Oryzias latipes: one gene and its partners. The protein of the gene in region 3 purifies or fractionates together with the protein of the main gene of each other region. This does not show direct contact. Links are inferred from orthologs where the notes say so. Each region holds a gene or a part of one and is shown on either strand. Other genes may lie near its edges.

Region 1 (10,008 bases), on a different chromosome or scaffold from region 3:
AAGCAGAGAAGCAGCTTTGAGTTGATATATCACACTTTCCACTAGTGAAATGCTTACTAATGTAAGGTGTTGCATGTCGGGGTAAAGCTGATATGAAAAGCCGCTTTTCTCCAGGTCAGAATCAGCTGATTCACGTTGATTGTGTAAACGGTCAAAAAGTTACAATCAAAGACTATTAGAGACCGGCGCCCGTTTGCTCCGGGGAGAAAGTGGATGTGTTTGTTAGCTTGGTGGTGGAGCTGAAAACACAAAATAAACTGAAAGTTTTGAAAAACGGACTTAATCCAGAGTCTTTTAACTTCATTGACTGACCACACAATTATATAGAATAGCATTGAAATATTTTGTTTTGAGGACCCCAGGAAAGAAAGCCATAAAAGATTGTTCTAGCAATCAAAAAACATAAAAAAACAGATGAATGTGGTGGAGCTTTTTTTTTTAAGTCCTTCAGCAATGCCACGATCCACAAGTGTCAGTTTACATAAGTTATAGATCTAGCTAACAAACAGAAAATACCCTAGTATAGCTAGTAGGCTTTTTTTGTTTTGTTTTGTTTTCAAAAAATACAGCTTAACCAAAAAAGGATGTTTTGGTCTAAAATACCACATTTTAAATATCATTTTATTTGTAGAAAAACCACTTATTACCTGACATCTGTGCCACACCTTTGACGTAAATCCATATCACTCAGCCGCAAATACAAACCAATTTAACTTGCTTTGTAGGAGTAAGTTACAACAAAAGTCATCTTACAACCCTTTGTACGGAGACACAAGTCTGTAAGAAGACACCAGAAATAAAAACCTGCGTTAATGAAATAGATATCATGAGACCACCTCCAAGAGTGGTTCCTGGTCCCGGACCAGTGTCCACTTGGGTGTATTTAGACCAGAAATTTCTTCTGGGTTATTGAGGGAAACAAACTCTGTTTCACTTTAAGCGAACCAAATGTAAGACAATTTTCTTTTTAAAAATTTTTGTGAAATTATTTTTGATGAAATTATATTTTATTGTGTTAAGCAAAACTTTTTATTACAGGATGGGTGAGCCTTTTTCAACAGTTTCTCTTCTGATTGTAAATAATCAATCAGCTATTCTGGTGAACTTCCTCTGAAAAGCTACATGCTGGATATGTTTAAAACATCTAAAAGGTTTCAAATGTATTTTTTGGTTTGTTTTTATCATAAATGATAATAAAGGATTTTTTCTTACACTCTCAGGACACAAAGTCTGTTTTGTCCTGAGCTTTGTTGTTCAGACAACCCCCCCACCCCCAGAAACTTAGCGTCTTCAGCTGTGAGCATTAATCCTTTAAATCTGGTTTCAGTGAGTGAAGCACCAAAGTTCTGCTCTGTAACAAAAACAAGAACACGTTCTACTTCATCACATTTTCAGGCTGTTTATATTCTTTAAGGTTTTGTGTCAAACTTCATAAAGTCGTAAAATCTGAGAACAAAGAGCTGTTGGAGCTGTGCAGGTCCGGCTGACGTCGCTGGACTCCTGGTGGCTCCGGTTCAGGCTTCAAAGGCTTCAGGCTGGCCACAAACACCGATGGCGTCTGAGCTGCGGCAGACACAACACAGCCGATCAGCTGTTGTGTTCCTGAGCGTATCGATGAAGGCGGGGGAGTAAACACAGCGTCAGGAAGAAACGCTGGTTTTTAGGACTCAGGACAGCTTTCACTGGAATTGTCATAAACAAAGCGAGAGTTCCAAAGAGGCCTCCATTTTTCTGCTGAAAATCCTTCATACTTTACGAATCCTTAAACAGGCCGTCACTCACACAGCTGTCACTCTGTAAACCTTTTCCCTCCAGTCTGTACAGTTTCTGTGCAGCTCCAACAGACCCTGTGTTGCACTCTCATTTTAAACACCAAAGGCGTCTGCTGCAAAAGAAACGGCATCCCTGTAAATAGAGAAACGAATAACAATGCATTTCTGGAGGCTCTGAAAGCAACAGAGGGCAGGTTCATCTGTTTTACAAAGGCAATCCATGGAAGCCTTTAATCAGTAGGAATATTTGTTTTATGGAACTGGAGAAATTGGAGGTCAAAGTTCAGTTAGGTGTCATCGGTGACCAAAGAACACACGCCATCTGACGTGCCGTAACGCTTCAACTATATACGCGATCACTGTGAATCAGCGGATTGGGGCTCAGCTTATATTTGACACGCAACACTTAACGTTCCATATGCAACCTCTAAAGTCCCACTCTGATCATCTTTTGATCTGTTCTCAAAGCGTTCCCAGTGGTCTTTTCATGATAATTATGTTCTTTTTGACCCAAGAAAATCCAAAAAAAAACCTGTTGTTTCTGGGACATAGTTTCTGCAGAGCAGCAGGGGTCCTTTAGAAATTCACCTCTTAATGTGGGTGGGATTGATGGCGTGGAATAAGCCAGCGCTCATTTCCAATCAGCTCTCTGTTTACATTCTCTCCTGCTATCTTACAGCCCCTTACAACCCTGCTAACATTGGCGGTGCAACAAAAATGGCGAGCATTATCAGAGGTATCCAGCCGTGCAGTTGTGATCCAGATTCCAGCTCAGGCGAGGAAAACAAAGACATTCATGAATCTATTAGTCTATAAGTGGATGCATCAGAATAGAACTGAGCAGGGAGCTTGTGGCAAAACTTCAAGCTTTTCGAAACAGCATTTTTTCATTTGATTTATCATTATTTGAATAAGGAAAAACTCAGAAACACAGTTTTAATCTTCATTTTCTTTAGATGTGTCCTCCATTGGCAAGAAAAATGCTACAAAGGCATGTTAAAAACACGTAAAAACACTATTTTCATTGGAGGGGTTCTTTAAAGTTCAATATTTAACACCTCATGTTCGATATAAAACACTTTATCTTTAATATGCAACGGCAGGCCAAAGAATGTAACGCTGGAGCTAAAGCTCAGGTGTTAAAGGGTTAAAAAGTGAGTGCAGGGAAGATCCAGCCTAATGGAGAGCATGGAAGAAGCTCCAACCCTTGGGAATGAAAATCTTCATTTGACCTTTTTGTTGTTTCCTGAAAAGAACCAAAGTTTTTTTTATTTCAAATTTGCTGAAGACTTCTAAATTGTTTTTTGGAGCCGGAGAAGTGACTGAAAATGGGGACCAATGAGAGAAAAAGCTATGAAAAGAAAGAAAAAAAGGGGGGTTCCTAACTTTTTTTAATGTTATTGTCAGTATGCAAGCCAGAAGCTTCCCGCCCTCTTCTCTGTACCCCCCCCCCCCCACACACACACACACACACACACACAGTTGCTGTGCTCCCCTATCAGACTGCAAGTCTCTATCTTGATCTTTTTCTCGTCATCTACAGTAATCCCCTTGCCCCCCCTAATGACAGTCAGCTGGGCTGATAGGCAGATATATTTACTCTGGTGGCGCGGGAGGAAGGAGTCATCAGCCGAACCCTGCTGCGCCTCGGGCCTCGTGGGAGGGGCTTGGAGGGAACCCTGGCTGGTTGGCCCCTCCCTGAGCGGGGCATATCTGTGTGTTGTCCCTGGCGTGCTCAGAGCTCTCAGCTGGATGGGACCAAAGCCTCATCGGCCCACAGACTCACAGAGAGGAGAGGAGGCAGAAAGCGGCTCTCCACAGCTCTTTTCCTCCATGAGGCAGAGCGGGCCTCTTCTTCTTCGTCTGGGCAGCAGCGGAGGTCGCCAGGGTCAACGTCAAGGGGGCTGCTTTTTGCGACCTGCAAGCGCTGGAACTGTACTGTGAACATTATGACTCTGCTGGGCTCTGAGCACTCCATCCTCATACGAAGAAAGTTCAGATCAGGTGGGGAATCTTCCTGTTTCTGCTGTCTTTGTGGGGGGGGGCTGGCAGTGAGAGTGGCAGGTGCAGGGGGGGGGGGGGGGGGGGTGACTTCAGCTGTAATGGATTTAGATCTGGGATGTTGTCACAGGTTGCTGCACTTGTTCTCCACAACCGGCGTCCTTGCTGTGGGGAGGGGGGTTGGAATTAAACAGCCATGTGGAGGTCAGAGGTCATCTGAATGTGGATAATGGAGGGCATGCATGTGTCCTGCGCTTCAAAGAAGTCTTTTTCCGTCCCTTTTCCCTGCTCCAGCCTGTCGGCGCTGCAGTCTGACCAACACTGCCCCCTCCCTGAAGGAAGGAGGCAGGAGAAGCAGCATGGCTGCGAGCGTGGTAATTACAGAGATGGAGAGGCAAATGACGCTTTTCCTCTGAGCTGCTCGGAACGACCGGAAAGCGGCATCTGTGCTGGGGGGGGGCATGAGACGGTGGCTACCAGACTGTGTTGCTGTAACCCGGGCACCCCTAACGCGCCACAGATGCAGTGTGCAGCCTGATGTTTCAGTCACACGGCCGATAACAACCAGCGAGCTGATTCATGAGAGCATGGGTGAAGCCACGAGGGGGTGTCAGAGAAGTGAGGTCCCCCGCGATTACTGCTGATGACAGACAGGGAGGGTGTGGGACAGTCCTCTTAAAGCTGGAGCTCCCCCGACAAAAGGCGCCTTCTCGCCTCCGCCCCAGGAGAGGATAAAGATAAACTTCTCCTTCAGGAGCTCCTCCGTCTTCTGCTGCGCTGAGCTCAAACTCCATGACGGAGTCTTAAAGACCCACTCTGGTGAAAGCTTGTGGCTTTTTTTTTTTTTTTGATAATGGAGGACATATATATATAAAGGAAATTAATCTTAAAACTGCATTTCTGACTATTTCTTTAGTCAAATTGTCATAATTAAGGAGCAGACCAAAAAAAAGTCAGCTGTAAAATTATCATATTTTTTTAGTAGAAAATGCAGATGGGGCCAGAAACTTCCCGCTCCTCTCCATTCTGATGCATCCACTTCCAGACAAATAGATCCATTTCTGTCTTTGTTTTCCTCGTCAGAGCTGGTGTCTGGATCTAAACTGTGAGGCTGAATGGCTCCGATATTTGAGGCCATTTTTGTTGCCATGGTAATGTTAGGTTGGGGTTGTGAGGGGCTGTAAGATAGCGGGAGAGCTTGTAAACAGAGAGCTCTCAGTAACGGGGAGGGGAAGTGGGAGCGGGGTTGCTCTGGGCCATCGGCCACAACTCGGAGGTGAATTCTCATTTTTATGTAAGAATCACATGCTTTTTACAGAAAATGTTTAACGTGAGGAGGTAGTATAAAATGTGACACTGACGATGAATTTTTACCTGGCAAAGATAAAACCTACAACTTTATTTGTCTGATTTTAACCAAACCAACTCCATCCATCCATCTTCAGAGCCCACTAATCCCTTTCAGGGTGACGGGGTTGTTGGAGTCAACCAAGCTGCTGGGTGAAGGCGGGCTACACCTTAAACAGGTCACCAGTCCACTGCAGGGCGCCAAACCAACCTAAAATACAGATTTCAATGATGTCGCAAAAGGATTTGATTATCCTTTTTATGATCTTCAAAGAATTCTACAGCAAATCAATCTGCAAATAGTACACAAGAAAAACAACTATTTATTAGGAGTTAAATGAAAATTAAGCTTTAGAAACTATCAAATCTGTATGAATGTTTCGTTTTTCCAGGGCATAAGTCCAGTCAGCGCTTTAGGCTGCATTACTGGCTTTTATAAAATGCACCAAACAATTTACACTGCAGGCTAAAGCAGCAGGAGGAGCAGCTCCGCATGGCAAAAACTGAATCTTATGAACATAATAAAAAAAGATTTTAAGACAAAATATCTCATTTTGTCTTAAAAGAAAAATAATCTTCTATCCAGAAAGTTTTTCAGTAGCAGAATAATCTGAGTTTGAGAAAACGTGAGAAAAACTTTTTTCTTGGGATAAGAGTTCTGGTTAAGAGCATTTTTCAACCTATTGGAAATTTTGCTTGTTTTAAGAAAATTAATCACATTTGTGACACATTTTCTGAAGGCGTTTTTAAAATGCACTGAGAACCAACGACCAAGCAGCTTTAGAAGGTTCTTGGAGATCCTGTTCACCGACCAGCGCAAGAAAACACACAACGACGATGCAACCAACCCAGGACAGGACAGAGAGGAAGCCCTTTCAAAACAGAAAAAAGAGGGAGAATTCTCAGCTGTCTCCAAACTTTTTCCTGGTTTCAAAGGGTAAAAGGGGAGGCAGCGCTCCTTCAGAGCATCCCCTCCCTGGTTTGTGTTCACGGCGGTGGCGTGAGGCCGTACCTCACACACGCTGTAAATCTGAGCTCTTGTAAATGTGACGGTCGGCTCGTGCCCTTTGTTCTCCTGCTGGAACCAGCGTTTTAGGTTTCCGAGCCAGGCTTTGGGTTATTAATAACCTGTCAGTAAAAAGCACAGTTTTTTTTAAAAAGCGTGAGTCAGAAGCTGCTGCGTGAAGAAGAATGAGGCTTCTACCTGGCAGCAATCTAACCTCAGCAGAATCCAGGAACGCTGTAGTTTGGAATTTTTTCCATGGATTCTTCCAGCTTTTTGTCCTGGACAGAAGCTCCTGCAGCTTCATGAAGATGACAGAAAACTTTGACCTCATCGCAATCTTGCTGCTGGATGCACCCCCCCCCCCCCAGCTCAGTGTAAACTAAAGCAGATGTGGGATGCAGGGAAGGGTCTGCAGTTACATAATGGAGGTGCTGATGGGACTGTACACCCCCCCCCCCCCCCCCCGTTTGTGTCATTGGACGAAAACCACCTGAGCGTCTTCATCAGCAGGGCAGCGATGTGCGGTGGGGGGGGGGGCACATTTTGTCCTCATGCGTCAGATTCACAATCAGACCAGGAGACCTTCAGATAAAAGTGGGGGGGGGGGGGCGCAGAAGAGACACAAGCAGAGGCACAGACATGGAGGAGGCTCTGTGTTTATAACCCCCCGCTCCCACACACACACACACACAGCACGGGGGAGCACGTGCACGTGGACCACACACCGGACGGCAGATCTGTTTAAAAGCCAGGAGCTGTGTTTATCGGCCCCTACATCCTGCTCTGAACATTTAGGAGATCTTCTGTGGCGGAGAACATGCCGGTGGAATCACCGCACATCAGCCTCGGCCTTTCGGGTTGGGATGTAGTCGGGGAGTGGGGGCTTCAGTCATGTGTTGCTCTGAAACTGCTGGTTCTGGTCCCTCACCTGCCTCTCCATGTCTCTTTTCCCTCCTCTTCCTTCAAACTTTAGTGTTACAGTTCAGACTTCAGCAGAGGAGGGCACGAGAGCAGCTGGTAGACCAGGGCATCATGCCTCGTGAGTACCACCCCTTCCCCCCCCCCAGAGCTGCCACACACACACACACATACACACACGCACACTCGCCTTCAGGGAGGCTGAGGGGAGTATCTGTAGGAAGTATCCCCCAATTAGCAGTGAGATAGGGAGGTGAAAGGTCAGCTCTCCTCTCTGTCTGGTCCTGATTATCGGCAGCGTGTTCGGATTTCCCGAAGACAAATGAAAACAACTTCAAACTGGAGCTCCAACCTTATGTTACTCCAACGATAATCTAATAAAGATGCAGGTCACACGACCTGTGTTTTAGCATAACAGAGCTTTTATAACAAACAGAGACCTCTAGTGTTTAAAGTTAGGAAATGCGTGTAATGCTCGAAAGAATCAGACCCCACTTCTTATCCTAACATGTCTACAGTATTTATACATTTCTCTTAACTCCTAAAGTTTATCTTTATCCTCTGTAACATATCTGCAGCTGATTTAAACTTTATGTGTACACTAGATTTCTTGTAAGAACCATTAAAATGTAATATCAATTTTTTCAAAGTGGAAGCTAAAAATCAGACACCATCTTCAACTTCGTGCAAATTCAAAGGTGTGACGGTTAAATAAAATAAATAGAATTTACAATTCTAAATACGCTTTTTTAAAACGTACATTTTTAAATATAATAATAAACGTGAATTCACAACTGTCGAAAAGAATCCACATTTGGAGGAAAGACTGCTGGTTTTTGTCTGTTAAATTTTTAAGTTTTCTTTCATTTTGAAGTTGAAGGCAAAAAGAAACTTTCCAAAAAACGTTCGTTTTTTTGTTAAGCTTTGCAAACCTGGGGACTTTCAGTTTAGCGGTAGTGAATGGATTTTGGACACGTGACAGAGCGACTTGACATGCGTCAAGAATGAGTTGGATGTGGTGAAAAATCCAGTAGTTTTTCAAAATAAAACTTCAAATGAAAAATGAAACAGAGAAAAATGTAAGTAATGCTTTTATTCTCTGCGGCCCGGTACCAAGTGTCCGGTACTGGTCGGTACTGGCCCGCGGCTCGGGAGGACCACTGATGATGACATGAAATGAGAATTTGTATTGCTCTCACCCCGTCGCAGCTTTTTACTGCTAAACTTACAAAGAAAGGTTTTATGTCAGTGTGAAGGAAAGTTTGCCTTCAGTGATGATTCTTCATGGTGCTCTTATTCTGTTTAATTCCATCAGTCAGGGAAAAAAGAAAAGAAATTCAAACATACTTTACATTCATGTGACAACGACAGTTTCATATTTTATGAAATAATAAGTGGAGAGAAACATCCTGGGATAATTGTATGGTGTGTGTTACCATGGCAACATGTCCCGCTGCATCAGCATCAAGTGAAATGGGATTTTTGATGCTCCAGGAGTTAGAAAATGTATAGAGATGAATTCTAACAGGCAGTTATCTCATATGAATGTGCGTCAATTATGGGTACACAACTTTTCCACCAACCATAAATGAGATTTTCACCAAGGAAGCACAAGTCTGAAGGATTATGTAGCCCCAGAAGGAGGAAAAGTATATATTTTGGTGGATTTTTCTTATGTTTTGTCAGATCAGACAGACGTGCAGAGAGTTCAGGGTCTGTGACTGACCGCTCAGGAATGCTGCAGCTCTGAGCAGACTCAGCAGCTGATTGGCTCTTAGAGAGCATACCTGTTTACAGCACGGCACTGCATCAAAGCGCAGACACGCCCACACAAGTGGAAGTGCAGCTTGAGCTGGTATTTACCAGGGGAGGCGTTCTCCTAAAACAAGAACACTCCTGGGATTTATGGTGTCCTCTGATGAGAGTGGCCGGGGCCGCCAGCACGCGACACGTGACAATTGAACTCTCCATCTTCACGAGAATGCAGCATGACATGTTGCAGCGTTTTAAAGAAGTGAGTCACGATTTTTGAAGCAGCAGGAAAAACGGATGAGTTTCAGGTTTTTCTGTGGGTTCCTGCCTGCAGGAGGAACACGGACACTGCTTCAGCAGGGCTTTGTTCAGGGATATCTCTGGCACCGTTTGCCATTTCACAGAGGCTCTGGCGTCCAGATAAATGCTGTAAGGTGCGGTTGAACGGAATCCAGAGGCCAGCGAGACCCTATCAGTTCCTCAGAGTCTGCCACAGATATAGCAGCAGAGAGAAACATGTTTGGTGGACAGGAAACCAACTTTAAAAGAAAGACGCTTGTACTGGCTGTTAATGCCTGGACAGCTGCGGTGCAAAGGTGGAAAAGAGTCTGCGGGGACTTTCTCTGGAACACCCGCCCTCCTGCTCACATTTACACCCCAAAAGTGACAGGTTCCGATGGAGACGCAGCATCCTGCTCCTCCTGCTGCCGATGCTGGCCCTGCCTGCTGGTGTTTGTGCTGCTGCAGGCGTCCGCGGTGTATATATTACCCGGGAACATCTGGTGTTTATTAGACTGTGGAAGAATCCGCCCTGCCCCGCCAGCCTGACTGCCGTGTGGCCTGCAGAGGAGTCCACGCACAAATGTTTCCTCAGGAAGATAACAGAGTTGTATCGCTGTGCTTTAAGGTGCCCCCCTCCCCCCTATCGTACAATCATGCTTGAAGCTATTTCTGCTGTGACAGAGTGAAGGATGTTGGGAGTTATATTCTGCCCTCACAGGCTGGGTTCCAGGGAGTCTCACTCTCCTTTAGTTCTCTGGTTTTCACCATTGACTGTATGTGAGAATTGGACTGAGTGACCCCTCCCCCCCCCCCTGGCGTTACAAACAGGAAGTACCTGCTGGCTCCAAGAAGCCAAAATCCAACAGACTCAAATAGAAAAAGAAACAGCCATTGCTCCATCATTCTTTTGGTCAGAGTAACCATTCCTGA
Region 2 (9,709 bases), on a different chromosome or scaffold from region 3:
CTTCCAAACTGTTATAGTATCTGTTTTTCACTAAACTTGATAAAATCTTTTGGTTTAAACCAACTTTATTTAGTGCAAACTCATGACACTTTTCCTTTTTTGAACTCCTTGTCTCTTTTAGACAACACAACCTCATCAGTGTCCTCATTTCTGCAGCCCTTCTCAGATTAATGGATTCAACATTTCTCCTCCACCACATCCTTTGTGGTGTGAAGCAGCACAAGAAGAATGTTTTCCTACCTTCCAGAAGAGCTTGGGTCAGAAGAGCAATGACCAAAGAGGACTTCTTCATTTTCCAGCCTCCATAAACTGCGGCTTCGACTCGTCTGAAGAAAAGGATCTCCGTCTTTCCTATTCTTTTGGGCTCAGGATTGTAAAACTAAACATTGGAGTCTCTGTTTCTGCCTACAACCTCCCCCTGGCCCTCCTCTTTCCCCTCACGCAGTCAAAGCACACTTGGTGAGTGCGCACACACAGACACACAGAACAGACAGGAACCAGCAGGTGAGAATGTGTGAGCACCGAGACATGCACACACCACCTCTGGTTCTGGGGAGGGAATGGGAAATGTCCTTTGCCGTGCAGGATGGGGGCTGAGTAAGGGTTTGCTCACCGCCCTGAAAAATCCCAGTTCCAGCTGTGCAAAGCAGCAGTCAGGCCTGCAGAGCTCACACCCTCTGCAGGAAATGAGGGGGACTGCATTCGTGTTTCCTTTTACAGATTTACAAACGTTTTGCTCAAGTGTTTGTTTTATTTTTTTATTTTTTTCACAATTTAAAATGAGGCATGCAGTAAATTCTTCTCTTGTTGTCTGGGGCGATCTTCTGCTGTTCTTTACCGGCTTTCATCTAACTTTAGAACAGCTCAATTGAGAGAAGACAGAGTCGTTCTTCCCACAGAAAGACTCCACTTTGACCAATGAAAAAGCACCAGGATGGGATATTTAGAGGATTTTACTGAGTCACAACATCCTGAAGCCATGGATTAAAAATGTTATCTTTATGCTAAAGCCCTTCACCCCTCTCTGAAGTTCAAGCAGGAAAAACATTTAGAGAATAACAAAAATGATGACAATGATTTGTTTTAGAATAACTTTTAATTCACGTTTGCAGCTTTCAACGACAGAGAACAGTTGTTGGAATCTTTCAGAAAAGTAATTCTTTGTTATGGGAGTCATTGATTGCATTTGTCTTAAAAATAAAGGTCCTTAAATGAGAATAAAAAAAGAGATTCCATCCAAATCTTGATATTTGTTTTTATCATTTGTTGTGTCAGATTTTTTGGTTATTTTTGAAGTTTTGAGATTTCTTGGAACGATAAAAACTGCAGGCTGACATAGACCACTCTCTGTTTGGAAACTAATGAAATCTGAGTCTTTGTGCTTTGGCGTCCTTTAAATGGCGTTCTAGTCTCATTGCTATGTGCTTCAGAGAGTTTTTCTCTGCCATTACAGTAAAACTGTTGCTCTAAACTTCCTCACAATTATCTTTAGAGCAGAAATTACAGCTGATCAGATTTTACGTAACAAATGCTCAAAGTCATTTCTATGTGGCTCTGCGATAGATGGATGGATGGATGGATGGATGGATGGATGGATGGATGGATGGATGGATGGATGGATGGATGGATGGATGGATGGATGGATGGATGGATGGATGGAGGGAGGGAGAGTGGGAGGAAGCAAGGGACAGACGGATGGATGGATGGATGGAGGGAGGGAGAGTGGGAGGAAGCAAGGGACAGACGGATGGATGGATGGATGAAAAGAAGGACGGGCGGACCAACAGGCACATGGACGGACAGACGAATGAACGGACGGATGGATGGGTGTTTCTTTTGGAAGAAATGTTCCTTTTGGCAACACTGAATAGATCAAAGCAGCTCTGTTTAAAGAACATCTTTGGTCCTACAATACATCAAGGTTTCTCTTAATATGAAGATCTAAATTATGTAAAAAATAAACTTTATATTAATTCAGGGAGAATTCTTCAGGTCAAAGCATCAACTCCCATTCCAGCGAAATTAAAATGCTATTTTTGGAGTCAGCTTAGCTTTTAATCATTTAGACATGATTGTAGGCTGGTAAATCAAATCACATAACAGTGTTAAACTGAAAAAAAGCAGAGTGTCATCTGCATAGAAACATAAAGTAATCTGTGCTGCCAAAAAGCCCAATGGAAGTATGTAAAAACAAAGTAGTATCAGTCCCAGCTCAGAGCTCTGTTGCACGCCATAAGTAAATGAGGAACGCTTACTATTTATGCAGACGAACTGAAAATGTGTCAAATTAAAATCACTGAAAGCAGCTTAATCTAGTTTCTGAAAACCAATCTCTGAATCTGGAATCTGCTTTAATATTTGATATGAATTCATTACATTTTTAAATGTTTTCAAAATAAAAGTTAATTTAGGATCTTAGACTGTAAAGTGAAAGTGTTACCACACATTGAACCACAAACTTTTCCTTATAGAAATAAAAAGATTTATTTATTAAACAGACGAACACGTCAGTAAACACATTCGTTTTTTCTATTTTCAATCTACTTGATCCATAAGAAGAAAAAAGAAACAGAGAAGCAAACCACAGAGAGTTACATCAACCCATCAGTCAGTGCTGCCAGCGTTTCCATCAATTATTAGCGTCATGCTGGCAGTTCACCTGGGGCACCAGGTGAGACTCATTAGGTTAATTCAATCAGGTGGCACTCCACTGAAAGAGATCCACGACCACAGAACAGTTTAAATACGGAGCCTCAGAAACTGAAGGGAAGATTCTTGTCTTCACTTTGTCCTTCCAAACTGCTAAGATGGTTCAGAGTGTGGTGAAGTAAGTTCTGCTCTGGTTTGTTTGGGGTACTGTTGGTTCTGGATTTACTGAGGTTCTTCTCTACAGGATTTCTTTGGTTGGCCTTTTGTTCTTCAGCTTTGGTGCTTGTTATCCCCCCAGAAAAGCAGGTACAGATGTTTGTCTTTGGCTGAACTCTGGTGTAATGAAGCTGAAGGCTCATTGAAATTCTCCTGAAACTTTTTTTTTTTTTTTTTTTTTTTTTTTTTTTTTTTTTTTTTTTTTGTTAGTAGGTTCAGGTCAGACCGGGATGGGCTTCGACGGGTCCACTTACAGCAGTGGTGGCGCTATCTCCCAATTTGGTGGTTCTGGCCGTGGATCAAATGTGGTCTTCAATGAGCAGGATGCAGGACTGGGACAGATCGCTGAAGACGCCATGAGCTACAAACCTGAGCGTCCTTTCCCACGCTTCGCCTGGACCCCTGACCAGGTTCCCCTGGGCATGGTGGAGCAGCGCCCGCTGTACCCCTCATCCCACATCGTCCGCGTCAGCAGCGGGTATCAGCGAGCACGGGACTTCCGCTCCGACGCCAAATACACTCAGGATATCTTTGACCACATTCCTCTGCTGGATACTGGAAAGGGGAACTTTCCAATGACTGACTCCAAAGGACACAAGGCCTACTGAGGTACTTCAACTAAAATACTGACTATTTAAGACATGAGCTTTAACCTAACATTCTCTTTACAGGTGAGAACAACTCAGCTCAACAACTTCAACTCATGATGTTGCAATCTTATCCTATCCTAAGTTTGTTTCTATTTCTCCAATAAAATGGACTGACTTGGATTTCTGAGGTTTTTCTTTTGGGAAGCTCCTGGAAAGTGGTCTTTTGTGACAAACCTGCTGTGCAGGTCAAAAGCTACACTTAATTCAGATGTATACCTTTGTCATTCAAGCTGGCATCTGCACAGCAGAGTTTGCGAACCATATTGCACCAGTGGTGCTGTCCTCGACACACTGGGCATGTGTTGTACAATCAAGATCATGAAATGTGTGGTTTCATAAGTGCACTTTCGGCATACAGAGTTGCACTGGACAAGCAAGTACCACCTGCAGTCAACAGGTTTGCTCCTGGGTTTTACTTGCACATAATTCTTGATACCAGAGACTCGTTAATGCCGGCTGGGCACTAACGTGCTTTGTAAAGGATGCTATGCCTTCCCCAAATCCAGCTCCCTGATCGGTTAAAGTTTAAATGGCTAAACTTTAACAGCTGATTTGTATGTAGAGCCCAAAAACAAATTTCAAAAATTGTGTCAATGTGAGGCTATAAGCTAGCAGAGCATATAAACAGCTCGTTCACACAACTCTGAGGCAAATTAGTTGCTGCTGCTCTGCAGAAACTCCTTTGTATAAAACAGGCAGGGGCAATGCCATGGTGGCTGGAGGTTGCCATAGTAACCCCAAATGTATCAAAGCCTAAATTGAGTTTTTTTTTTTTTTTTTTTTTTTTTTTTTGGCCATGTATCATTTCTCATTTTAAAATGTGACAACCACCCTGAAGACAGTTGGCCAAGTAAGCAGTAGCAACGGAGGGTGCTCGTTCTGCAAAACTGGATGTAATCTCTAATTTAAAAAATTCAAAGGGTTTTATAAACGTGAATTAATGGATGGCCAACGCTGAACAATCCAGAGCCGCCCTTAAACACTATCTGAATTTTATTTAGGATAAAGCCGGCAAAATCAGTGGGACTTAGATACTCAACCCTTGTGCTATCCTAGGCACTTTAACGTTGGAGTTGGGTCATCTAGACCCACTAGACGGTGCTCTGAACCTTTTTTTTTTTCTTCAATGATTTGAGATCTTCACTGGTGTCCATGGATTACATGAAATCTGTCCACCTTTGTCATGGTAGGGAGAACACGTCAATGGGTGGGGTCATCTAAGATAGCACAAGGGTTAAATAGGGAACCTGTAGTGCCTCCACCTTGTCACTAGAGGGAGACAAACACCAATCAAGAAGCACTTCTCTGAATCAGTTTTGTTTTCTCCACCCTTTATGTTGGTAATTCTCCAATGGTTTGTTTTTATTTATCGGTCCGCGCGGACAGCGTGTGCCGCAGCAGCAGTGCTGTAACCGTCCGGTGACGTCGTGGAGGAAGTGGGTCTCCCTGAGTCCCACAGAGAAGGAGGGTTTTCCGGTTAAAGTTTCCTTTGTGACTCGGAAGTAGCGCTGTAATGCTGAGGCCGTTTGTCACCAGACGCAGCGCGCAAGTGGCGACGATGACAAGTGAGCACGAGCCTGTGAACTGCGCAGAAATGTCTGCTTTGTTTTTGAGCGCGAAGGGGACAGAAAAAGAGCTCGTGCGCGGCTAGTGCTAATGCGCAGCTGCTGTGGTATGCTAGCAGCGAGCTAAATTGGGGTGTAAGCAGGAAAACATGTCATGTTTTGTTTACTTTACAACCTCTTTCGACTCAAAGTGTGTATTTGTAGCCACCGATCACTTTTGTGTTTACTTGGGAGTTTTTGTGCCACTTTGCTTGGCTGTTGGGGTGAAAATTAGCTTGAATGTTCCGTTAAACTCCAAGCCAGACACGCTAGCATTAGCTTAGCGTGAATGTCTGTTTTGGACAGTGACAGCTGTCGGCTCCCCGGCATCTGTGCAGACTCTCGGTGCCTAGGCCCCCCACACACATTTATTTTGCTTTTGCCATTTCAGACATTTCTGCAACCTCCATGATCATCCAGGGTGATTGTACTGTTGCTAACTTTGCGGATGTTTTATTTATTTTTGGACGCATCTCCTCTTGTTTTTCCTCCTCAGCAGCGCCACTGGAATTGCTGCCCTGCTGAAATGGCAACACCCCCCTCAGCTTGTCCAAACACAGGTAAGCAGCGAGGCTGATCTCTGTTGATTGCACGGGCACGTGCAGACACCGTCCTTCACCTGAACTGAGAGGGTGTTCCAGGCAGTTCGTGGTAGTGTCTTTCTTGGACTTCTATTGCGAGGAAGCAAAACTGTCGGGACCTGCATGTTGTGATGTGTAGCAGTTCTTGGAGGCAGGTGTGGACATACCTTTTGTGGGCATGTGGGTCTTCCTCCTTTGTCATTTTTATTTTATCTCAGCTCAACACAGAACACTGTTGGATTTTGTTTACTTCTCGCCTTTAACTGCAAATAACTTCATATCATTTAAACCTCAAACAAATATGGAATGGATCAGCCTTTCAGTAGAAACAACCAGCCACGTTTTTCTAATGCCCAGAGAGAAAATTCGGTGAGCAAAGATGACAGGACTTTCTATTCTGAACACAAAAATAAAAAAAAGAGGGTCAATAAAAGACCTAAAATATTTTACGTCTTAATGATTGAGAATAGTGGAGGTATTGGTAGTCACAGGTATCAATATGGAGGTTTTTCTTGTTGTCTTCTAGATTCTACATCCTCCCTATCTATGATCCAAACACAGGACATTATTCAGGTGCTTTAGCAATTTGTAATATATTTTTTAAATCTGCCAATTAATGTAATTCCAAGCTTTGTTCCTGCCACATGCAGTTTATTATTCAGTACTAAAGGCTTTAGGCCGTTGGCGCTCCTTACTGCGCTCATTGACATAACTCTTCACGATGTGTCTGTGCCTTATGTCACGTTTCCTCAGTGTTTAGGGCAGGGGTCGGGAACCTATGGCTCGCGAGCCATATATGGCTCTTTTGATGGTCACATGTGGCTCGCAGACAAATCTTTAATTATAGTTTTTTTTTTTTTCATTAGACCAGTCCTCGGGCGCGATGCGATGCCAGAAGCGCGCAGTAGTAGCGGTGCTTAGAGAGAGAAATCTGCGCCAGCGCTATCAGTTACTATTATCTATTATTTCACAGAGTTTGTACCAGCTGGAAACTTGTGAATTGACGTGCCTAAAACTACGCGCTCCCGTCTCTGAGAAAGAGCGCGCAGATGCGGGGACGGGATGTGTGAGGGAGAAAGCAGAGGGTGGGGGTGAGGGGTTGTGGGGACAGGCAGCAGGTGAATTGCGCAGGGATTGTAAAAACGTAAAACCCGCTGCCTGTCACTCACTGCGGCGTGTGAGTGTGTGTTTAACTCCAGGTCTGCATGTGAGCAGTCTGTCTCACATCTACAGAACATTCAGACCTACGATCACGTTTAAAGTCTCAACGCCTGAACGAAGCAGAAACTCACCACGTATCAACCAGACTAGACCATCAGCAAAACTACCACGAGAAATACTCATCATTTATTAGCAACAGCATAACAATGTTATTAAAAAGAATCCACAGACTTATTGTACTTTAAAAATGTTGAAATTAAATCAAATGCACACATTCACTTGTATATTTAGTTTTAAACAAATTGTCGCGGACTGAGTTGGATGGCTGTTGGGCCGCGTTAAAAGTTCTGGAGTTCATTGAACGCGTCAAGCAGAGATCTGATTGGCTCTCAGTTCTGTCGCTCAGCCTGTTGTTAGGTAGTTTGGACCAATGGGGTTCAGCTATGGGCCGAATAAGGGAAATGGGAGGGGCTGCAGCGGTAGCAGGGGAATATAAAGTTGGGAGAAGCGCACTCGTCTCGGCGGGAGAGATTCAGGAGTTGCTGAATTAATTGTACGGCGTTTGTTGCGGTCTGCAGTAATCGGAATAAAGAACTTTAAAAGAGGTTAAGTCTCCGTGCCTCAGTGTGGGAAAGGGACACTACATTATTGTATGGCTCTTTCGAAATTACATTTCAAAATATGTGGCATTTATGGCTCTCTTGGCCAAAAAGGTTCCCGACCCCTGGTTTAGGGGATGGTTTTGGGGACTTCAATCACCTTTCATGAAGCTGTAAAAAAACAATACGAAGTCATGAAAAAGCTGCCGTTGACTCGACAAAAGTCCGGATAAGTCAACTGTACCTTGGCTCAAATCGAAATCCAAGTATAAGCTCTCCCAGAATGCACTGCGGCACATATATCAACACTTTAAAGTCATTAAATCATGAAGGTCTGACCAGACACCAAGTGTCCACATGCAAGAAGGATGGAAATATGAGGCCTTATGGTTTAACGCAGGGATCTGCAACCTGTACCACTCAAAGAGCCATTGTGAAAGCACAGGGAGCCGCAACACTAGGGTTGTTAGAAAAAAATCATTTTGCCGAAATATCGCGATAGTTCATTTGGCGATACTTGTATTGATTCAAAATGCTGTCAGGATATTTATTTACTTATTTATGAGCGTTATGTTTCCTTTGATCTTTTGTCCATTTAACACAACCTTGAATAGGCTTTTCTGTCTGTCTAGCCAAATCCAGTAAACCCAATAAAGTATATTAATTTTACGGATGAGACTTTATTTTTTATTAGGAAGCAGCTTTTAGTTTGTTGCGGGTCTGGAATCATAAGCGGTGAGTCTAAGCCCCGCCCCCGCCTATCTACCTGTTCACACTTCTGCAGCTCCAAGTTGTTCTCCCCTGCGTGCTAACCCCCCCCCCCCCCCCCCCCCCCCTCCTTCCAGTGTGTTCTACACAGAGCAACATACGGTCAACGTAGCAGCACGGTGACAGGATAGTGGGGGCGCCCTGACGCAAACTTAATTAATTTTAGGCGTCAATGGGTGGTTTTAGTCTAGGGGCTTGTGGCAGGGTCATTTCTGTCTGCAGACATTCAGGGTAAACCCAACACGCTGAGTAGATCTTCATTTGGCAGAAGCTGAGGTAGATTAACGGGAAATCAGCTGTTGGGCCCATGCAAAGCCTCTCGTACCTTAGCATGTAAATGTGAGGATTTATGAGGCGTGCCGGTCTGAGCGACCGTTCTCTCATGTTTCAAGTGAAATAGTTCTATGTTGTGACTAAAGTTTGGAACACCACAGCTGGACATCGATCTTTTCGTTAGTCCTTATTTTAAACACATTATTGGGGATTTAATGTACCAACTTTCCTGTCTTTCACATCAGCATATTGTTAGCGAATGATAAGCTAATATCTGAAGAATTGATGTTGGCATTTTAATATTTTGTTGCTACCATGTTGAATTAGATCAACTTTTGATCTGTGTTCAAAGTTTTTCTAGTGGTCATTTAACTACGATTATGCAGGTTTTTTTGCCAAAACTAAGAAGAAACCTGTCATTTTCTAGGACATGGTTTCTGCAGAGCGGCAGCAGTTTATTAGAAATTCACCTCTTAGTTGTGGGTCTGTTGGCGTGGGGCAATCCCACTCCCACTTCTCATCACATATTAAAAACACCATTTACATCGGAGTTGATCTTTAAGCTAAGCAACTAGAACTCTTAAGTTAAGGTTATACATTTGCAGTTATGTCCGTTTACGCCTGCAGGTCTCCAGGTGTTGGGGCTAAAACTTCTGTGCAAATAAAAACCCATTTTGATGATCTACAGCTTGATATTCACCATAATTCACTCCAAACAGATGTGATTAGCTGAAACACAGTTAGTTTAACTTTAAGAGGCCTCCACTAATTAAGGTCTGTTTGAAAATCAAGCTTAAAATCTATAAACGTTAGAACTGAAACAGCTTCTACAGCAACAGTTGTTAAAGCTCGAACATGCTAATTCTTCCCAGATGGCTTTTTTAATCTCTGACCTGCAGCCGCGCATTCTTCGTCTCCTGCAGCTGCTGAGAGCAGAAAGAGAAGGTCTGTTTCCAGGAGCTGCAGCCGCTTTTTGAAGTCCGCAACAGTCCGGAGAACTTATCATACTGCCGAAAACCATCTCTGATTTGGCTAAACCTTCTGTTTGTCTTTATCTGATTCCATGGTGGAACCTTTGGCTTCTTTTTGGAGGTTGAATAAAGTGTATTGCATGAGCAGCAACTTTCACATCTTGTCCCAAATAATTGCGTTTCCTTAATGAGACACTTCCATGTGAACATCTGATCCTTCTAGACTTCTTTTGTTTT
Region 3 (10,062 bases):
CGACAAACTTCATTTTCCTCGGGCAAACCTCCAAACCATCACCACATTAGGTAACCATGACAACCCCCCCCTCCCTCAGCCTCTGTCCTCCTGGGATCTCTGATCTGAGGCGGGAACGTCTGCTCAGGTAAAGGCGAGTTCGGCGAGGTGCTGCTGGCCAAAGCCAAAAGCATCGAGGAGGGCGAGGAGGAGACGGTGGTGCTGGTGAAGAGTCTGCAGACCAGAGACGAGCAGCTGCAGCAAGACTTCCGCCGCGAGGCGGAGATGTTCTCCAAGCTGAGCCACGCCAACGTGGTCCGCCTGCTGGGCCTGTGCAGGGAAGCAGAGCCGCACTACATGGTCCTGGAGTACTACGACCGGGTACGCGCACATCCGTGTGTTGACACGCTAAAAACAGTTCAGACGCGTTTCTCCTCATCACATGTTTGCCGGCTCTTTCCCTCACAGGGAGATCTGAAACAATATCTGAGGATCTCCAAAAGTAAAGACGACAAAGTGAAGTCTCAGCCTCTGAGCACCAAAACCAAAGTGAGTCTGACCTCAGGAACGAATAAAAAATCACCCACGTTTCAATTCCTCCCATATCCTCCAGCATCATTAAGAAGCAGCTGGGGAAAAAAACATGTTGGTTTTACAAGCTTGTAGATTTTTAGCAGCGTGCAGAAGTGGCGTTCCTCTGTTGCTCGCAGTTTTCTGTTCCTGAAATATTGGGAAAATTGGATAGCAAGGAGCATGAACAGATTAGGAATGTGGGTGTGGTTAAAGAAAACTCCTCTGTTGCCAAGGAAATCCCAAAGTGTACTTTTACTATTCTGGAGATAAAACCAACCGAACAGCTGCCAGTTTGAAAAATGTTTTATTTTTTAATGAATTCTTCATGCGCAGCTCTGACCAGCGTGGTTAGAACAGCATTAGCTACCATAACTATGCCGATGACACACACACACACACACATATATATAACACAGAGCTTCAATCTATTCATCTGAAAAGCACCAACCAGGCCAGAAACATTCAAGGATTAAAGATCTGATGTCTAAGCGGGAAAAAACAACTTCCTGCGTTCCTCTTTAGTGGGCGTGACCTCTGTGACGGTGGTTTTATCCCCAAAAAAAAAGCATCAACCGATTCAGAACTTGAACGCTGGGGTTATCACAGGGACCAAAAATGTAGAACCGCATCGGTCCAGTTCTGAGGTCTTTCTTTGAACGGTTTAGCACCAAAACACATGGGTGACCTCTTGACCCCGTATGAACCAGCCAGACCCATCCGCTCATCGGGATCTGGTCTTTTGTCAGTTTGTCCTGTTCTCAGCTGCATATGATTAGTTTATATTCAAAGGTTTACATCCTGTTACCTGAAGATTTCTTTAAATCATCTGATGTTTCTCTGAAATGTTTCTGTTCTGACGTTCGGATGATCTCCCTACAAAAGCTTTGCCTTTCTGTCCAGATGTCTCTCTGTGCTCAAGTGGCTCGCGGCATGGAGCACCTGTCCAACCATCGCTTCGTCCACAAAGACCTCGCCGCCCGAAACTGTCTGATCAACAGCCAGAGGCGGGTCAAGGTGTCCTCGCTCAGCCTCAGCAAGGACGTCTACAACAGGTCTGCTGGGGGGAAAAAGGCGCCAAACGCAGGAGGGCGGGAACTTTGAGGAGTAAGGTTCTCCTTTTCTTTGCATGTGTGCACAGCGAGTACTATCACTACCGACAGTCGTGGATCCCGCTGCGCTGGCTGCCGTCAGAGTCCGTCTTCGAGGACGACCTGTCCACCAAGTCGGACGTGTGGGCCTTTGGCGTGCTGATGTGGGAGGTGTTCAGTCACGGGGAAATGCCGTACTCCAAACTCGACGACGAGGAGGTTCTGGAAGGTGAGAAAAGCCGCCGGCTGTCAGAACGACCGTCCCGCTTTTTTTCTGAACCTCTTTTCGGTGCTGCAGGTCTGAAGGCGGGGAAGCTGAAGCTGCCCCCCCCAGAGGGATGCCCCTCCAAAATCTACAAGCTTATGGCGCGCTGCTGGGCGCTCGGCCCCAAGGAGCGGCCGTCCTTCACCGACATCGTCCACGTGCTGGGGGAGCTGCCGTCTGACAGCAAGGTCTGAGCAGAACCCCCCCCCTCGCGGCTGGGACACAAATGCTGGATTATGAACCGACCCGGGAGGTGGGTTGAAGAGAAAAACGACTTTATGACTCGATCCGGAGCGCGGATCAGACTCTTGATGTCAGTTAGTGTGAACGTCCCTCTGAGCTGCGCCGGAGCTCCGCCTTAAATGCAACCCCCCCCCTCCCCCCGGTGATCTGCAGCCCCTCCTGGACACAACCGCAGTGCCTCCGCCCCCCCTCCACCCCTGACCCTGTGAGGATGGACGGATGCTTCCGTTAAACCCTCCAAACTTTCAAAGTGTGTGTCTGTGTGTTTGGGGAGTGAATCACGTCTGCATGAAGGTTTGTCGTCTGTCGCTTCGCTGATCCACAACAATCCACGAGCAGAAGATCCCGTTTTATAGCCAAGGACCACAAACGGATGAGATTGTGCCAGTGTGAACTTTTCTATGTTTTTCTAATGTGGCTTTTCTATTTTGGAGGCGCTTTCTCGCCTCTGTTGACGTGCAAACACCACCATGCGGACGCCACGGCGATTCCGCCTGTCGCCAGATTTCACCCCGCGACTCAAGGGTCCAAACGAAACTCCGAGGTCCAAAAATGTGTGGCTACCACGTGGCCCGGCCCGGCACGGCCCGGCCCGGCCAAGTGTTTCTGATGCAGAAGCGGTGCACTAACTTCAGGTCACGCTCCTTCTGCTTCCCGCTGTGCAGACGGAGACGCAGGCGCCTGCTTATTTATGATGACGGTCCTGTTTCTGCAGACGGACTGTGAGCTCCTTCTCTGTTCATTCCACAGTCTGAAGGCGCCGACAACAGAAGCCAACAAATGCGGGTCACCAGAACTCCTTTAAGTGCCTGGAAAATGAAGGATTATCTTAACCAGTCCCCCCCTTTTTTTTGGGATATCTAATCAAATGCAAGTCCTTTTTTATCAACTTGTTTTTTATATATATATATGTGGATTTTAGTGTATTGTTTTTAAATGAATGCTAGGAACTCACTCCTAGACTTTGTTTTAATACGCTTCAGCAAAGGTTCACAATAATCCGATATATTCCAGACTATACAAGCTGCTGTCAATAAAGGTTCGTTGTTTTCACTCAGGTTGGTTCTCGTCTCGTTTCTCTATTGACGATATTGTCATTTTCTAATGCTCTTTTTTCTTTTCTTCAGAAAATAACAAATATTTGCTCCAACGATTTTAACAGCTGAAAAAACATTTCTTTCTGTATTATTTAAAATCTTTTGCTGTCTAAATATGAGCAGAAATGGAGTCAAAGTGCTCTTCCTGCACGCTCCAGCTCGTGGCAGAGTCGACGGCCTCTGCTCGCAGCTGCGTGGTTAAAAATAACGAGTGATGTCATGTTGGCGACACTTCTGTTCACACTCTGACACTTGAAGAGTTCTAGAAGACATAAAAAAGTATCGGGGATGTAAACAGAACATGGAAATGTGGTTCTGAGGATTCGAGTCAGAACCACAAGAGGTGGCCGTGCAGTAACCTAAACAGCCACTAGGGGGAGGTGTTTTTATGTAGAAATGGATTTAGTTTAAAAAAGAACATGGTCTCAAAAATCAGTGTTTAAGTGTTCTAACATTTCATAATTAGGTTTAATATTCATTGTTATCAAAGCTTGTGGAATTTCATAAATATTTGCCAGATAAGTTTTCAGTCATTCTTGATTATTTCTAAATCCATCCATCGTTGAGGGAAACTAGTAGCTCTTGGGCCCGTTTTGATCTTGTTTTTAAACTTTTTAAACCTATTTTTAAAAAGAAAGTTCTTTATGCTCATGTTTAAACTAATGTAGTTTCCTGTTGACTTCCATGACAAGTTTAACCTGACATATATACATATATGCACACCGTGATGATGACGATGGATTTATCCTTTAATTTCTTAGTTTGAGCTCAGATTTGTCTTTTTTTTTTTTTGATGGAACATAACTTTACTTTTTCTAAATTCCATTTTTGAAATCTTTGAAGTTCTGCTCATCATCTTCTGCCCTATTTTCAAAGTCTTCCTAGTGGCCTTTTAAAAGTGATGATGCCGTTTTTAGCCTAAAACAAATCTGTGTCGTCTTCCACCGAGGCTGTTAATGTGGAGCCACCCCGCCCCCTTTCCCATCACTGTTCTGAAAGCCTAGACCAGCTTGTGACCACCCAGCATATTTATGAATCCTTTTCAAACAGCATCTTTTCTTCTGCTCCTGATTCACAGCGATTTGAACAAAGAAATGAAATGTCAATTAGAAAAAAGCCACATTTTTTTGGGGGGGGGGGGGGGGTTCTTTAGGTTGGGTGGTGTTGGGCTGTAGCTGCTCCAGATTTGGCTGATTTAATAAAGTTTTTTTTTTTTTTTTTTTTAACAGGAACCTTTAGAATAAGAGGAATATGGTTTTGGACCAGTTTTGACCTTGAAGCTCTTTTCCATCCGTGACCTTTAGACTCAGTTTGGTGACCTCAGCTCATTGGTCCAGCCGTCATAATAAAGGTAGACCAACAGGTGAGTTTGAGGCCCGAGCAGACTGAAATAAATCACCACGCGCTTTTTGTTGTACTTTTTGTTTTTCACGTTATTTTATTGTTGGCTTGTAATGTTTTTTTTTCTACATTTGTGTTGATGGGGACAAATGTTTGAATTACAAACTGCGTAACAAAAAACTCAAATAATCTGTAACGGAAAACTTTGTGTTTTTGTTGCGCTTTTCGGCGACATGAGCGTTGACTGTGACGTTGACATCACTGCAACCATTTTGGTATTTATTCAAATGAGCTTCTATTATCGTCCAATCACTGCTTTAGTCAGATAATCTTCAACCAATCAGCAGGCGACGTTGTGACTCACCAAATAAGGAGAGACAGCACCATATAAGGAAACGTTGTATCTCTTTATAAGGAGGAAAGTAGTTCCCTGGCTCTCGTATCACTCCGCCGTGGCGATAACTTTTTAAAATGCGGGATCATTTTATGCATTTCTGATCCACGTAAACTAAATAATGTAAATAAAGCGACGCCTTCACGTTTTCGCGTGAGTACATAGGGTGTTATATTCGGCCTTTTTTTTTTTGCTCACACGGCGAACTATGTGACGCAGCGGAGTCATATCGACGGAGCTGTTCGCGCTTTCCTTTTTGAGAAAGTACGGAGAGTTTTGGAAATAGAGGAGGAGTGTGGACCGAACGGAGCCGGGTTCGCGGGTCCGGGGGCAGCGTCACTCTCAAAGTCTGGGTCACTAATGTCTCGTAGCGTCCAAATCAACTGAGCGCTTTGTTTACATTGCGTGGCCCCGGCGCGTGCGGTATATATCAGGAGGCACTCACGCAACGCCACGCTCCAGCTTCTCCAGCTGGTGTCTCGGGACTCGGTCGGTCACCTAAATATAATGTTACCCAGCCAGGCTGGATCGGTACCATCTGGAAACGGGTCCGCGTCCGGCAAGGGCAGCACCGGTCACAGTTCGGGGGTTGTCGGCGGCGGGATTCGCCCCGTCCTGGTCCGACCGGGGCTAAGCGACGGCGCGGGCGCTGCGGGGCGACACGCCGGGGACAGGGACGCGGTTGGGATGCTCGGAGCCAACGGTCCAGGCGGCTCGAGGGCCGCGAGACCGGGAAACGGGACCGGAGGGAACCCCCTGCAGGCTGCCGTACCGGGACACATGGTGGGGCTGAACGCGGGCGTCGTGCTGCCCATGGGGGCCCGGTTCGACCCGGAGCGGGTGTGCAGCGGCTCCGACAACGACTCTGAGTCCGGGGACGACGACGACCCGGTGGGGTCACTCGGGGACAGCAGGAGAGGGGTGAAGCGGGAGAGGGGGGAGATGATGGAGGCTGCGGCGGCGGGGCAGGAGGCGGGAGTCACCCCCGGAGATTACGGCATGGTGTCCGGGGGAGTCGCCGGGGCAAAGCCCGGGAAGAAGACCCGGGGGCGCGTGAAGATTAAGATGGAGTTTATAGACAACAAGTTACGGAGGTACACGACCTTCAGCAAGAGGAAGACGGGCATCATGAAGAAGGTGAGTGTGTGAGGCGCGTGCACGCTCATTGATTGATTAAGATGATTGGTTCATTGATTTGTGAGCTGACAGCTCCCTCAGAGGAGGAAAGCATGTCCAGAGTTTGGGTCTGGAAGTTCTGACATCCTCCTCAGAGGATGCAGGATCCCGGTTCTGCTTGTGACGAAGTTCACCCCACATAACTGTATGCAGCTGCATGCATGCATGCATGGAGCTGCATGCATGCATGCATGCATGGAGCTGCATGCATGCATGCATGCATGTATGCAGCTGCCACATGGCTTGCAGGCCTGCATGTGCCAACAGCTGACTAAACCCCCGGGAACCGGACCAGACGATTGCACAGACCACCGTATGGTGCACCCAGAACCAGGAGCAGAACCTCATTGAATACTCATGTTTGGTTCTTCTGCACACGGAACCGCTCTCTTAAAAACCCGATCACACAGAAATATTCTGCTGATCATCTGAAGGTCATTAGGAGCCAGATTTCATAAAAACTCCTCTTTTTTTCAGTGTGTTTTTATTTCCACAGCACCATCTAAACTGTTGTGTTTTGATGCATCCCAGACTGTTGTCGTGGAAACTGTGGTGTCTTCATGTGGGCTTTTGGCAACAATGAGGGGATGGAGATTTCTGTTGCCCACACTCCGTCAGCCCTGACAGGAGCTGACAGGTGGGTGGAGTGGGACGACTCATCGTAGCTCTGAACTTTCATTTTGACGGATCCACGTGATGCTGGAGGTTCTGTTCCTGGTCCGTAGGTGGTTCCTTCTCATGGACGTTTTGGTTTCTCCTCGGCGGCGAGCGGTGGAGTCGTTCGTGGTGAACGCCGTGTCGTTTACAGGGAGCAGGGATCTGCCGCTGGTTTTCAGTGGCCCCCAACACGGCCTGAGATAAAGTGATGGTTCGGGCTCCTGAGTTCTTTTGCTAGGACGTTTCGAGTCTTTTTGGACCCGGATGAGGCCTAAGAAAACAGCAAAGAGCCAAAGTTTTTATTTGAACTTCTTTACGTCTGTTGATGCATATATGGATCAAACCACTTTGGCTCCAAAATAACTTTATTGAGCATCAGCCTGAGAACAGCTGGCATGAATACAGGCGTTAAAGGGTTAACATATGCCTGTTATTGTACGGCAATTCTCGTTAATGGCTCCGCTTTAGTTGTGCCAAAGGAACCAATCAGGCGGAGACAGCAGCCCCCCACCCCCACCTGCAGCTACTCATATTTATGTGAAAATTGGCAGAGCGAGGAGCCCTATTAAAGGCCGCCGTCCACGCTCAGGTTGACAAATGAGTCCGTTTTTCCAGGCTGGACGTTGGCCAGACTCGGCGGTGTTGTTGAAGCGGCGCCGCGGTAGGCAGCGAGGGGAGGTGAGCGTGGAGTCACGGCGAGGAGCAGAGGGGCTGGACGATTGCTGCTCTCCACCGCTACTCTGAAGCTTTCGCCGGTTTTACAACGGCTCCATAAAGTTCTCAAATTTGAATTTGATTTGCGAGTTCTGGGGCGACGCCCCCGCCGGCGTGTGCTGAGGGGGATGGCGGCCTTCCCTGACGGTGACGGGAGCATCTTCAGGATGAGCGATGACTCTGAGGGGAGTTCAGGCTGAGTGCAGCCGTTTGGTCGGATGTGTGTGTTGGATGCAGTCTGAGTCCAAGCATCTGCTGGAAGCCATTCCTCCGTCCTCCTCGCTGGAGGGACGAGCTTCTCCTGGACTCGAACCTTTATCTTCTGCTATTTTGGTCTCTGTGGTGAAATGCATCACTTTTATTTCTGGATTTTTCTGCAGGTTGGAGTTCTGACGTTCCCGTTGAGATGTTTGAGGGCCGCGTTTCCGCTCCGGTCTTCATGTTGTGTTGTCGGTCTCGTTCCAGGCGTATGAACTGTCCACCCTCACAGGAACCCAGGTTCTGCTGCTGGTGGCCAGTGAAACGGGTCACGTCTACACCTTTGCCACCCGCAAGCTTCAGCCCATGATCACCAGCGAAACGGGCAAAGCCTTGATCCAGACGTGCCTGAACTCCCCGGACTCGCCGCCTCGGTCCGACCCCTCCATGGACCAGCGGATGAGCGCCACGGGCTTCGAGGAGACGGATCTTACCTACCAGGTGTCGGAGTCGGAGAGCATGGGCGACACGAAGGTGAGCTTCAGGAGCGAGCGGCGCCGTCTGACCCACCTCTGAGGGGGCTGTGGAGGGACGGTTCCGTGTCGTCATTTGTAATCTGAAGAGAATCGCTCCAGTCGCTGCCAAATGTGACACAAGCAGATGACATTGTTGGAGTTTTACGGACCTTAAACCTGAGAACAGCCTTTGTTCACGTTCCAGGGTTTTTACAGACGAGGTCGCCATGACGCCATCCTAAATTCAGACATGATTTCTTTCAGACTCGGTCCCAAAAAAAGGAAAAAACGAAACATTTTCGCTGCACGTTTACTTTCTAATGCGACTAAACTTCAGCAGTTTCTGAAGAAGATATGAACCAGCTGCCAAATCATCTCAACCCGACCTTTAGTTTTGGTTTAGTACTTTGGCATGTTTAGGCTTTTAAAATACACAAAAAAAGAAAAACCGGATTTACCTCCAACCTCGTCTCGTCTGCCCCATGAATTTACCCCAAACGTCTTCAAGTAGGTCAAAGCATCTTGATGGAGCTGGAAAAGTGTAAACGCCACGCGTCCCGTCTCCCGCCGCGCGTCCCGTCTCCCGCCGCGCGTCCCGTCTCCCGCCACGCGTCCCGTCTATCGGGGACAGTCAAAAGCGAGACCTGGAACTAGAACACACGATTGCGGCTGGGACGCAGTACGATTCCTGCGATGGCTGAGGTCTAAACCGGCAGGCCGACGGATCCTCCTGTGCACCTCCCCTTTGACCTCTGCCCCCAGGAGGAGCAGAGAGGTCAGAGCAGGTCTGTGGATGAAGAGCATGGCGGCGTTCTCGGAACACGTGACCCGTGCTTTACGTTCAGAACAAGAATGAATGAAATGACTTCAGAAGTCGTCTTCTCCGGCGACGCCACCCCGTGGGCAGTCAGTCGCATGCTGGAAGCGGGGACCGCCCCCTCCCCGGGTGTTTACACGGCATTGAGGACGGCCCGTTAGCCCGCATGGTGTTTTCCCAGCCGCCAGCGGAGTGTGGGGGTGCTCCTTCGGGGTGGGGGCTGAAGCCGGCGTGCGGTGCCGCTCTGAACCCCCCCCTGCTCATTGATAAAAATGAGATTCTGTCTCTGAGACCATATATGGTATGGTTTCCCTGCCTGCTCTCTTGGCTGAGGCCCCTCACATTCCTTATAAGCTGCAGCTGTCTTTGGAGTCCTGTGATTACACCCCCCGCCACCCCACCCCCAACTCCCCTCAGTGATACGGAGGGGAGGTATGGATGCAGATATGAGCGCGCGGCGTGGAAACCTCTAGACTTCCACTGCCGTGAGGGCGGAGGTCAGAGCTCTCCACCCAAAGAACGCTGGAAATGTCGGGAAGGTTGCCGCCGCCGCCATTTGGATGCTGCAGGTGGACGCGGTTCCCACTCGGCTGCACGAGCGTCTGCAGAGTCTGGATCACATCCATCATGAGAGCGGGATGTTGCGCAGACGTCCAAGCTAGTCTAAACACAACATGGTGGGGGGAGACGCCAAGAGGCTTTAAGGTGAAGGAGACTGTTGGGATGAAACCACTGATGACATCATCCTGAACTTCCAATAACACTCAAACACCAGGAAACCATGAATCCTTGGTCCAAGTTTGGTTCTGATCATCAGGTTTGGGTCTGAAGCTGCTGAAACATCTGAGAACTTGGACTGTTCCAAAGGGAAATCTATACGTGAATGTGGCAAAATGTATTTATTTTCTCTTTCCTTCCAATGTTTAAAACGTAATTATTTACATACCTTTCCAGAGATGACCTCTCTGATGCCGTGGTCATACCAGGCGTCGCATCGCTGCTCAC

What was found.
Region 1: the proteins of srf (region 3) and myocd purify together in Homo sapiens (affinity purification with western blotting; 3 studies listed by BioGRID and IntAct, with this or other methods). This does not show direct contact. The link is inferred for Oryzias latipes from reciprocal best matches to the Homo sapiens genes SRF and MYOCD.
Region 2: the proteins of srf (region 3) and mkl1 purify together in Homo sapiens (affinity purification with western blotting; 4 studies listed by BioGRID and IntAct, with this or other methods). This does not show direct contact. The link is inferred for Oryzias latipes from reciprocal best matches to the Homo sapiens genes SRF and MRTFA.

Annotation. Positions count from the first base shown.
Region 1 is NC_019877.2:20,224,337-20,234,344, reverse strand, and holds the start of myocd (myocardin), read left to right. Parts: upstream 1-3,363; 5' UTR 3,364-3,721; coding exon 3,722-3,776; intron 3,777-7,099; coding exon 7,100-7,165; intron 7,166-10,008. UniProt on the Homo sapiens protein: Smooth muscle cells (SM) and cardiac muscle cells-specific transcriptional factor which uses the canonical single or multiple CArG boxes DNA sequence. Acts as a cofactor of serum response factor (SRF) with the potential to modulate SRF-target genes.
Region 2 is NC_019877.2:1,888,018-1,897,726, forward strand, and holds the start of mkl1 (MKL/myocardin-like protein 1), read left to right. Parts: upstream 1-4,848; 5' UTR 4,849-5,080; intron 5,081-5,193; exon of another isoform or gene 5,194-5,215; intron 5,216-5,615; exon of another isoform or gene 5,616-5,618; 5' UTR 5,619-5,645; coding exon 5,646-5,679; intron 5,680-9,709. Other genes in the region: vstm4 (V-set and transmembrane domain-containing protein 4), read right to left, coding at 241-292; uncharacterized protein LOC101163526, read left to right, coding at 2,808-2,827, 2,894-2,955, 3,076-3,473. UniProt on the Homo sapiens protein: Transcription coactivator that associates with the serum response factor (SRF) transcription factor to control expression of genes regulating the cytoskeleton during development, morphogenesis and cell migration.
Region 3 is NC_019873.2:29,038,597-29,048,658, forward strand, and holds the start of srf (serum response factor), read left to right. Parts: upstream 1-5,141; 5' UTR 5,142-5,487; coding exon 5,488-6,117; intron 6,118-7,992; coding exon 7,993-8,259; intron 8,260-10,062. Other genes in the region: ptk7 (inactive tyrosine-protein kinase 7), read left to right, coding at 1-50, 128-360, 448-528, 1,453-1,604, 1,691-1,869, 1,939-2,099. UniProt on the Homo sapiens protein: SRF is a transcription factor that binds to the serum response element (SRE), a short sequence of dyad symmetry located 300 bp to the 5' of the site of transcription initiation of some genes (such as FOS).